2 linked regions of the Danio rerio genome follow. The main gene of each other region encodes a partner of the protein of the gene in region 2 in a complex. Links are inferred from orthologs where the notes say so. Each region holds a gene or a part of one and is shown on either strand. Other genes may lie near its edges.

Region 1 (4,061 bases), on a different chromosome or scaffold from region 2:
GGAGATTCACTTAAATCAGAAATGTCTGCTCTCTGAGTAGAACTAATGATTATAATGGGATATATAAGTAAGTGTTTATATATATAGAAAAATAGGTTCACATTTATAGTTTACCAGCTTGAATTTTTTACTTTTGAAAATTACAATGTGATGCTTATATTTATTTTATTAGGAAGAAATACTTACAGTTATTATATTAACTGTGTAATACCAGTTTATATACATCATACACATATTTAAAAAAATTGAGGTAAAGTTGGTTCACACATTCTGACTTTCTTTTTTATAAAATAAGTTCAGAAAAGTATTCTTTGCAAATACTAAATAAGGGAATCCTATTAGCAGTCAATGACTATCAAAGTACATTGTTCAGTCAATTAAACAGTGCTAATGTTGTTTTGTAGTTATACTTGCATGCAATTTCAGAACGAATATTCAAAGTAGCATGATAAACAATATAGGGAGCATGTCTCAAGTTGTTACTGAACATACATGCAAACACACAACTAACTTTACCTCATTATTATAAAATATTATTTTAGAAATATAAGCATGCCTGAATAATTTAAATGAAACACTAGAAAGTCTTTTAATTCTAGGTTCACAATCCTGAGCTGAAAATATATGAAGACCTTTTATCGTAAAGAGATAAAAGACAAAAAAGAGTGTTAAAAAAAACTAAAAATGGTTTTGATAGCAGTTTTTGGTCAGTTATCATTTCTGAATGGACTGTGGGAAAGTTGTTCTTATATTCTGACTTTCTTAATATTATATTTTCAGAAAAGTGTTCTTGGCCAATTCTAAATAGGGAAATCATATTAGCAGCCAATGACTATCAAAGTACATTGTTCAGTCAATTAAACTAATGTTGTTTTAAAGTCATTATTACATGCGATTTTTAGAACCAATTTCAAAGTAGCATGGTCAACAATATAAGGAGCATATTGCAAGTTTTAACTGAACCAATGTGTGAACAAAAAAACAACTTTACCTCGATATTATTTTTAAATGTAAGGAGGCTAAATGCATGCCTGGATAATTTTACTTGAAAACCAGAATGTCTTTTAATTCTAAATTCCCAATCCTGAGCTGAAAACAAATTAAGATATATACATTGTTTATGATAAAGAGATAAAAGACAAAGAGTGTGAAAAAACTAGCTTTGTTAGCAGTTTTTGGCTAGTTATCATTTCTGAACGGATTAAGGTAAATTTGTTTTCATATTCTGACTTTCTACTTAATATTACACTTTATCAGAAAAGTATTATTTGCCAATTATAAATAGGGAAATCATATTAGCAGCCAAAGACTATCAAAGAACAACATTGTTAACAATCAATTTAACAGTGCTAACGCTGTTTTGTAGTCACTTGCATGCGATTTCAGAATGAATATTCAAAGTAGCATGATAAACAATATAGGGAGCATGTCTCAAGTTGTCACTGAACATACATGCGAATATAAAACCAACTTTACCTCATTATTATTTAGGTTATTTAATATTACTTTAGAAATAACCATGCCTGAATAATTTAAATGAAACACTAGAAAGTCTTTGAATTCTAGGTTCACAATCCTGAGCTGAAAATATATTAGGACCTAGACATTTTTATCATTAAGAACTAAAAGACAGAGTTGAAAAAACTAAAGTGTTTTGTAAGCAGTTTTTGGTTAGTTCCATTTCTGAACAGATTGAGGTTAAGTGTTTTTTTATTCTGACTTTTTACTTAACATTATATTTTCAGAAAAGGATTTTTTTTTCCAACTCTAGATAATTACATCATGTTAGCAGCCAAATACTATCAAAGTAACGTTACAGAATTGTTCACAGTCAATTAAACAGTGCTAATGCGGTTTTGAAGTCATCCTAGTATGCTATTTCTGCCAGAATATTCAAAGTAGCATGGTAAACAATATAGGAACGGTGGCACAAGTTGTCACTGAGCAAATGTGTAAATAAAAAACAACTTTCCCTCAATGCTAAACGGACTGTTTTGAGGCTTTTAGTATTTAACGTTAACGTTACATAGCAAACCACGAAATCAACCTCCAGAGACCAGTATAGATTTTTCTACGTGGCCATACGGGGGCTCTGTACATCTCTGACTGAATATGAATACTTTACCAAAAGCCACCAAGAATCAGAAGGAAATGTCAAGCGCCAGATCTTTTACAATCACGGTAAAGTCACATGCTGAGAATCTCAGTGTTTATCTTTGGCCAGCGTAAGTAACTTGTATTCATGACTAAAGAGCGGCACCACTTATTTCCTTAATAATCCAGTTTAGTCACAGGATAACGAGTGGAAATTATTCTAAACATAACTTAAGGTATGAATACACACACAGATGTTTTAAAAGAGAGTTAACATTGTGTTAATTCGTGGTTAAGTTAGGCCAACACGTTTAAGCTACTAAGCAGTTTTTGTGTCGTACACGAGTAAACTCTGGTCACATTACAGCGTTAACTAACCTTTTTGACTTTCTTTACATCCTCCTCCATCTCTACGTACAAATGCTCTTCATTTTCGCTGTATTAGATGTGGTGATGTCCACGAATTCACTGCCATCTGCCTCCTACACGTCAACGGCGGCGCTTCGGCGATCTAACAAAACAAACCGACGATTCAGAATCACGTGCTCGTGGACCGTCAAGAAACGAGCGACGTTATTTGTCGAGGTAAAACTTGGAGTTTATGAAAAAAAGGACAGAGACCGAACAGATATAATAAAATAAAACAAAAACAGCAACAAACTTTTCAATCCTGCCGCCATTTTGGGCGTAGGACGTCTACCCATAGTGCCTTGCGAGACAAACAGAAAACCTCATCAGCACATACTATAAATACTTACGGTAAGTTATTATTAATAAACACAGAAGATGGGAAGTTTATATTACTCGTTGTAGCTTTGGGCTTTGCATTGTCTTTTCACTATGATTTAAAAGCAACTTTTTAAAGGGTTACCTTTAAAAATGGAGCAAACTTCTAAATTGTCCACAATATGACTAACAAGAAAATATAGCCTATAAGCTATTTAAAATGCCAAAATCAACTTAAGTTTTATGTTTGTAACAAGTAAAGTGACCATTCTAGTTTTAATCTTTTAGCAAAATGGTTTTAAAATTAAAAAAAAATTAAAATGTTTATAATTTATAGTGTATAACATAACTCAGAAAAGGTAACGTTATATGGCAAATATGTTTAGTAATTGTTATCATGTCTATATTACATGGTCATGTATTTTGTTAAAAAAACAATTATTATGCTGTTGTTATTATCAATATTGGTGAATTACTGGTTTGTAAACATTCAGGATGCGCACGCATCAAGGTTGCAGAAAAAAACAGGAGGGCTAGCATTTACAGCGAGGGAATGACATGCGGTGCGGGACAGAGTTTGTTGTTGTATTAGAGATTAGTTATATTGATATAAATGTATATATTATTTACACAATGCTTTTAGCGTAGTGCAACAGCTTGTCACCTAGTGATTAGCACAGTCATTCGGCAAAATTAACGTCATGGTCATGTGCAAGAAATAATGTTCCATGATTACCAGATTAAAAACTTTGTAGTGCTGGAAACCGAGGTTCTGCCTGGCCAAAGACAACAAAAGAAGACAGAACTGTACAAGGCCTGGGTAATCATCAACAAGCGAAACACCTGCATTCTGACAGCGAATCTGCACCTGTATGGCAGGGTATGTGAACTTTTTACATTTCATTCTAAGCATTCAGTGTCCGCAGTTTAATAAACAAATTTAACTGTTTTTGCTGAAATCATTGCTGCAATCAAAAACGAATAATGTGTATGAATCAGGATAGCGTAAACTTACCTGGTATAATTTGAGAACTGCAGAGTCGAGCAGATTTGATTAGGTCCTCACACCATTCAGCTCTTCTGATGGCTGTTAGCCAAAGACGTCTGCAGTTGGCATTAAAAGCAGTGTGGTGAACGGTAAAATTTAAGTTTTCTAATTTTGGACTTTCGATTTTGGCATCCTACAGCACAACAGGACATGCTTGCAACCGGTATTTATTGCAACCGGTATGCGCAGTTGA
Region 2 (3,500 bases):
TGATCTTATTGAGGGGTGACCCAGTGGCACAGCAGGTATTGCTGTCGCCTCACAGCAAGAAGGTCGCTGGTTCGAGCCTCTGCTGGATCAGTTAGCGTTTCTGTGTGGAGTTTGCACGTTCTCCCTGCGTTCGTGTGGGTTTCCTCCGGTTTCCCCCATAGTCCAAAGACATGCGGTGCAGGTGAATTGGGTAGGCTAAATTGTCCGTAGTATATGAGTGTGAATGAGTGTGGATGGATGTTTCCCAGAGATGGGTTGCAGTTGAAAGGGCATCCGCTGTGTAAAACAAAAAGTTGGCAGTTCATTCCGCTGTGGCGACCCCAGATTAATAAAGGGACTAAGCCAACAAGAAAATAAATGACTGAATGATCTTATTGACCTTATGCTTTCACATAAGAGCAGCTACAGCCATTAGTACATTTATTGGTTCAAGATTTTATTTTTATTTTATGTTGCAAACTTTTAATTCATTTGTTGTATGTTTTCACCTGCCTCCTTTTGCTAACATGAACAGTATTTTAATTTAACATTTTTTTACAATTTATTGTAAGATTGCATTTGCACACATATTGCAAAATGGTCAATGGAAAATTATAAACTTGAGCGACAAGGCAGTACTGACAATACTGTGCATCTCTCACACATCTTTATTGCCAAACCCTGATTACTGTAATCAATGTATTTTGGGACACCACATATAATCGCTAATATATGAAACTTTACATTTTTTATTTTGTTCATGCAACATATATCACGTGTCAAACTCGTTTTGCACAGTTTGGCTTTAACACCTGATCAAACTAATGGAGTCCTTCAGGCTTGTTTTAAACCCCTAGGTAAGTGTATTGAAGGAAGGTTGGAAATAGTTTGTGCTGGGCTGCTGAGTTTGGCACCCCTAAGATATGTATTATCATATTCCTAGTTGGAAATTCTAAAACTATTGCAGAATAGAGCTTACTTTTGCATTGCAAAATAAGGTCAATAGAAACGGTTTAAAAAGTTTTGAGAATGTGCCCATGTATGCTTTTGAGTGAAACTGTCAATTACTTTGTCGTTCAGCCAATCATTGTGTATTTATATGTGCATATGTGTAGCCCCTACAGCTCCAGTGACGTGGCGCAGAGGGAAGTTGCTGGGTCAGGGTGCTTTTGGAAGGGTTTATCTGTGCTATGATGTGGATACGGGCAGAGAACTTGCAGCAAAACAGGTTCATTTTGACCCTGCCAGTCCAGAGACCAGCAAGGTACATGTTTTTTTTTTTTTTGTCGTATTTATTTAATCATGCTTTTATTTATACTTTTATTATTTATTTATTTATGCATTTATTTATTTGTTTATTTATTTATTCATGCATTTATTTTTTACATTTTTTTATTTATTTATACATTTTTTATCAGTGCATTCATTTTTTATTAATTGTTTATTTATTTATGCATTTATATCTTTACTTTTATGCATTTATATATTTATTTATTTATGCATTTATATTTTTACTTGTTTATTTATTTATTCTTGCATTTTTTTATTTGTTTATTTATGCATCATTTTTTACTTATTAATTTATGCATTTATAATTTTTTTTACTTATTTTTAATTATTCATTTATTTATTTATTTATGCATTTATTTGTAGATTTATTTATTTGTTTTTCTTTTTATTTATTATGAATGAGATTCATAATACTAAAAGAATTAAAGTTTTCATTTTATTTCTTTTATTGTTCTTTTTCTTTTCTTTCTCTTTTTTTTCTTTTAATTTTCTTTCCTTTGTTGTTTTTCTCTGAGATTACCAGCATGTTTTTTTCTCCCCCCTGATTTATCTTTCTTTCTTGAACTTCTCCCCCTCTCTTCAAATCCTTTCCTGTCTGCCATTGCAAAAACATGCACTCTCGCTTCCTGTATCTGTGTGTGATTGTGTATTTGGTTCAGAGGGGGTTTGAGGCGAGGGGAAGCGGGGTAGTCTAACAAAGCATTTCTCATTGATCATGCCCCCAATTGACACACAAACACACACACAGACATGCACAAAAGCAAAAAGCACCTCCTGGATGTTCAATCTCTCTTATCTACATGTTAACAGTTTGGCATTAGTGTGTTGTGGTTTGTGTGTTTTTAGTTGATCTTCCACCTTCATGCACAGTCATCTCCCTCATAGCCCCCTCTGGTCATAGCTGCTCTGCTCAGCTGTGGTCGTGTCATGACTCTTGCCCCTCTTTCTGCAGGAGGTGAGTGCTTTAGAGTGTGAGATACAGCTGTTGAAAAACCTGCATCATGAACGAATCGTCCAGTACTACGGCTGCCTTAGAGACCACAATGAGAAGACGCTTACCATTTTCATGGAGTATATGCCCGGGGTGAGTTTGATAAAAGAACCACATTTATTAAGCGTTTGGAAATCAATTAGGACGAGTCGTTGTTGGAAAAAAAAAATCTATGGAAACTACTACTATAGTGTTCCTGAGGAAAAATTAACCATATACATCTTTGAATGTGGGTGAGTATGCAATGACATAGTTTCCTTTTTTGGTGCACTGTAGCTGTAATGCCAGATCTCTTTATTGTATGGGTTGAAATGTGTCACGGAACACCTGTTTAATAACAATACGGCTGTTGTGATATAGAGTTCAGTGTGATCTTTCCACCCCTCAGGGTTCAGTCAAAGACCAGCTGAAGGCTTATGGGGCTTTGACGGAGAATGTGACACGCAAATATACCAGACAGATTCTGGAAGGCATGTCCTACCTGCACAGCAACATGATCGTCCACAGGGACATCAAAGGTTTGTAGTCTGTGTGTTGTGTGTGTGTGTGTGCGTGAGTGTTTTAGTAGTACAACAATACAGACTTCTCATGGTTTCTGGGTCACGATTTTGGCACGATTTTCGGTTTATATGTCCAGTAAGACAAAACAATATAGCAAAGATAATACTAAAATAAGCAATGCTTTCAGGCTTTTCATGTATCTAGCAATAGTTTTCAGTTATATAAACGAATAAATATCATATCACAGATTCATGGAATTGATTCTTACCTCCAGCATAATCAAGCTTTTAAGCTTACTGAAATGTTTTTGACAATAGCTCAACAATGTATTGCTTTAAAATAGAAAACAGACATTGATGTACTAATTGGACTGTGGATCTCAAAAGTGCACCTCAACTGTATACCATTGGAGAAGATCACATATTCTTTGAGAGGAAAGGGGAATTATTAAAAAATAATTGGAATCCATTTTGAATTATATTAAAGCTGTACCACATGATTTAATATGACAAAATAGTTTTCTCCATTGGTTTAAACTGTATATCCTCCGTTTGTTTATTTATTTATTTATTTGTTTTATGTACTGTGTGTATGGTTTACTTTAGTTTGTTTGTTGCTTAATTTCAATGTTCTGTATTGTTAAGTTTTGAAAAAGCTAAATAAAAATCTATATTTCTAAGAAAAATCTAATAAAAAATAACACTGCATACTATATCTTCAGTGTAAAAATTAAATAAAG

Evidence for each region.
Region 1: the proteins of map3k3 (region 2) and ccm2 are in contact, whole or in part, in a crystal structure (PDB 4Y5O), measured with the Homo sapiens proteins. The link is inferred for Danio rerio from reciprocal best matches to the Homo sapiens genes MAP3K3 and CCM2. Residues at the interface, in NP_002392.2 of Homo sapiens: Asp2, Glu3, Gln4, Ala6, Leu7, Ser9, Ile10, Met11, Asn12, Asp13, Leu14, Val15, Ala16, Leu17, Glu50, Asp82, His84, Met86, Asn88, Glu89, Leu90, Ser91, Ile92, Leu93, Arg117, Leu119, Leu121, Ser122, Gln123, Asp124; in NP_113631.1 of Homo sapiens: Leu299, Tyr302, Met303, Leu306, Arg307, Ser312, Gln313, Ile315, Gln316, Gln317, Phe318, Ala319, Ala320, Leu321, Leu322, His323, Glu324, Arg326, Glu333, Ile336, Asn337, Gln340, Leu341, Leu353, Phe356, Pro358.

What each region holds. Positions count from the first base shown.
Region 1 is NC_133195.1:21,253,549-21,257,609, forward strand, and holds the start of ccm2 (cerebral cavernous malformations protein 2 homolog), read right to left. Parts: upstream 2,801-4,061; 5' UTR 2,503-2,800; coding exon 2,473-2,502; intron 1-2,472. UniProt on the Homo sapiens protein: Component of the CCM signaling pathway which is a crucial regulator of heart and vessel formation and integrity. May act through the stabilization of endothelial cell junctions. May function as a scaffold protein for MAP2K3-MAP3K3 signaling.
Region 2 is NC_133178.1:30,612,536-30,616,035, reverse strand, and holds part of map3k3 (mitogen-activated protein kinase kinase kinase 3), read left to right. Parts: intron 1-1,094; coding exon 1,095-1,243; intron 1,244-2,221; coding exon 2,222-2,353; intron 2,354-2,648; coding exon 2,649-2,778; intron 2,779-3,500. UniProt on the Homo sapiens protein: Component of a protein kinase signal transduction cascade. Mediates activation of the NF-kappa-B, AP1 and DDIT3 transcriptional regulators.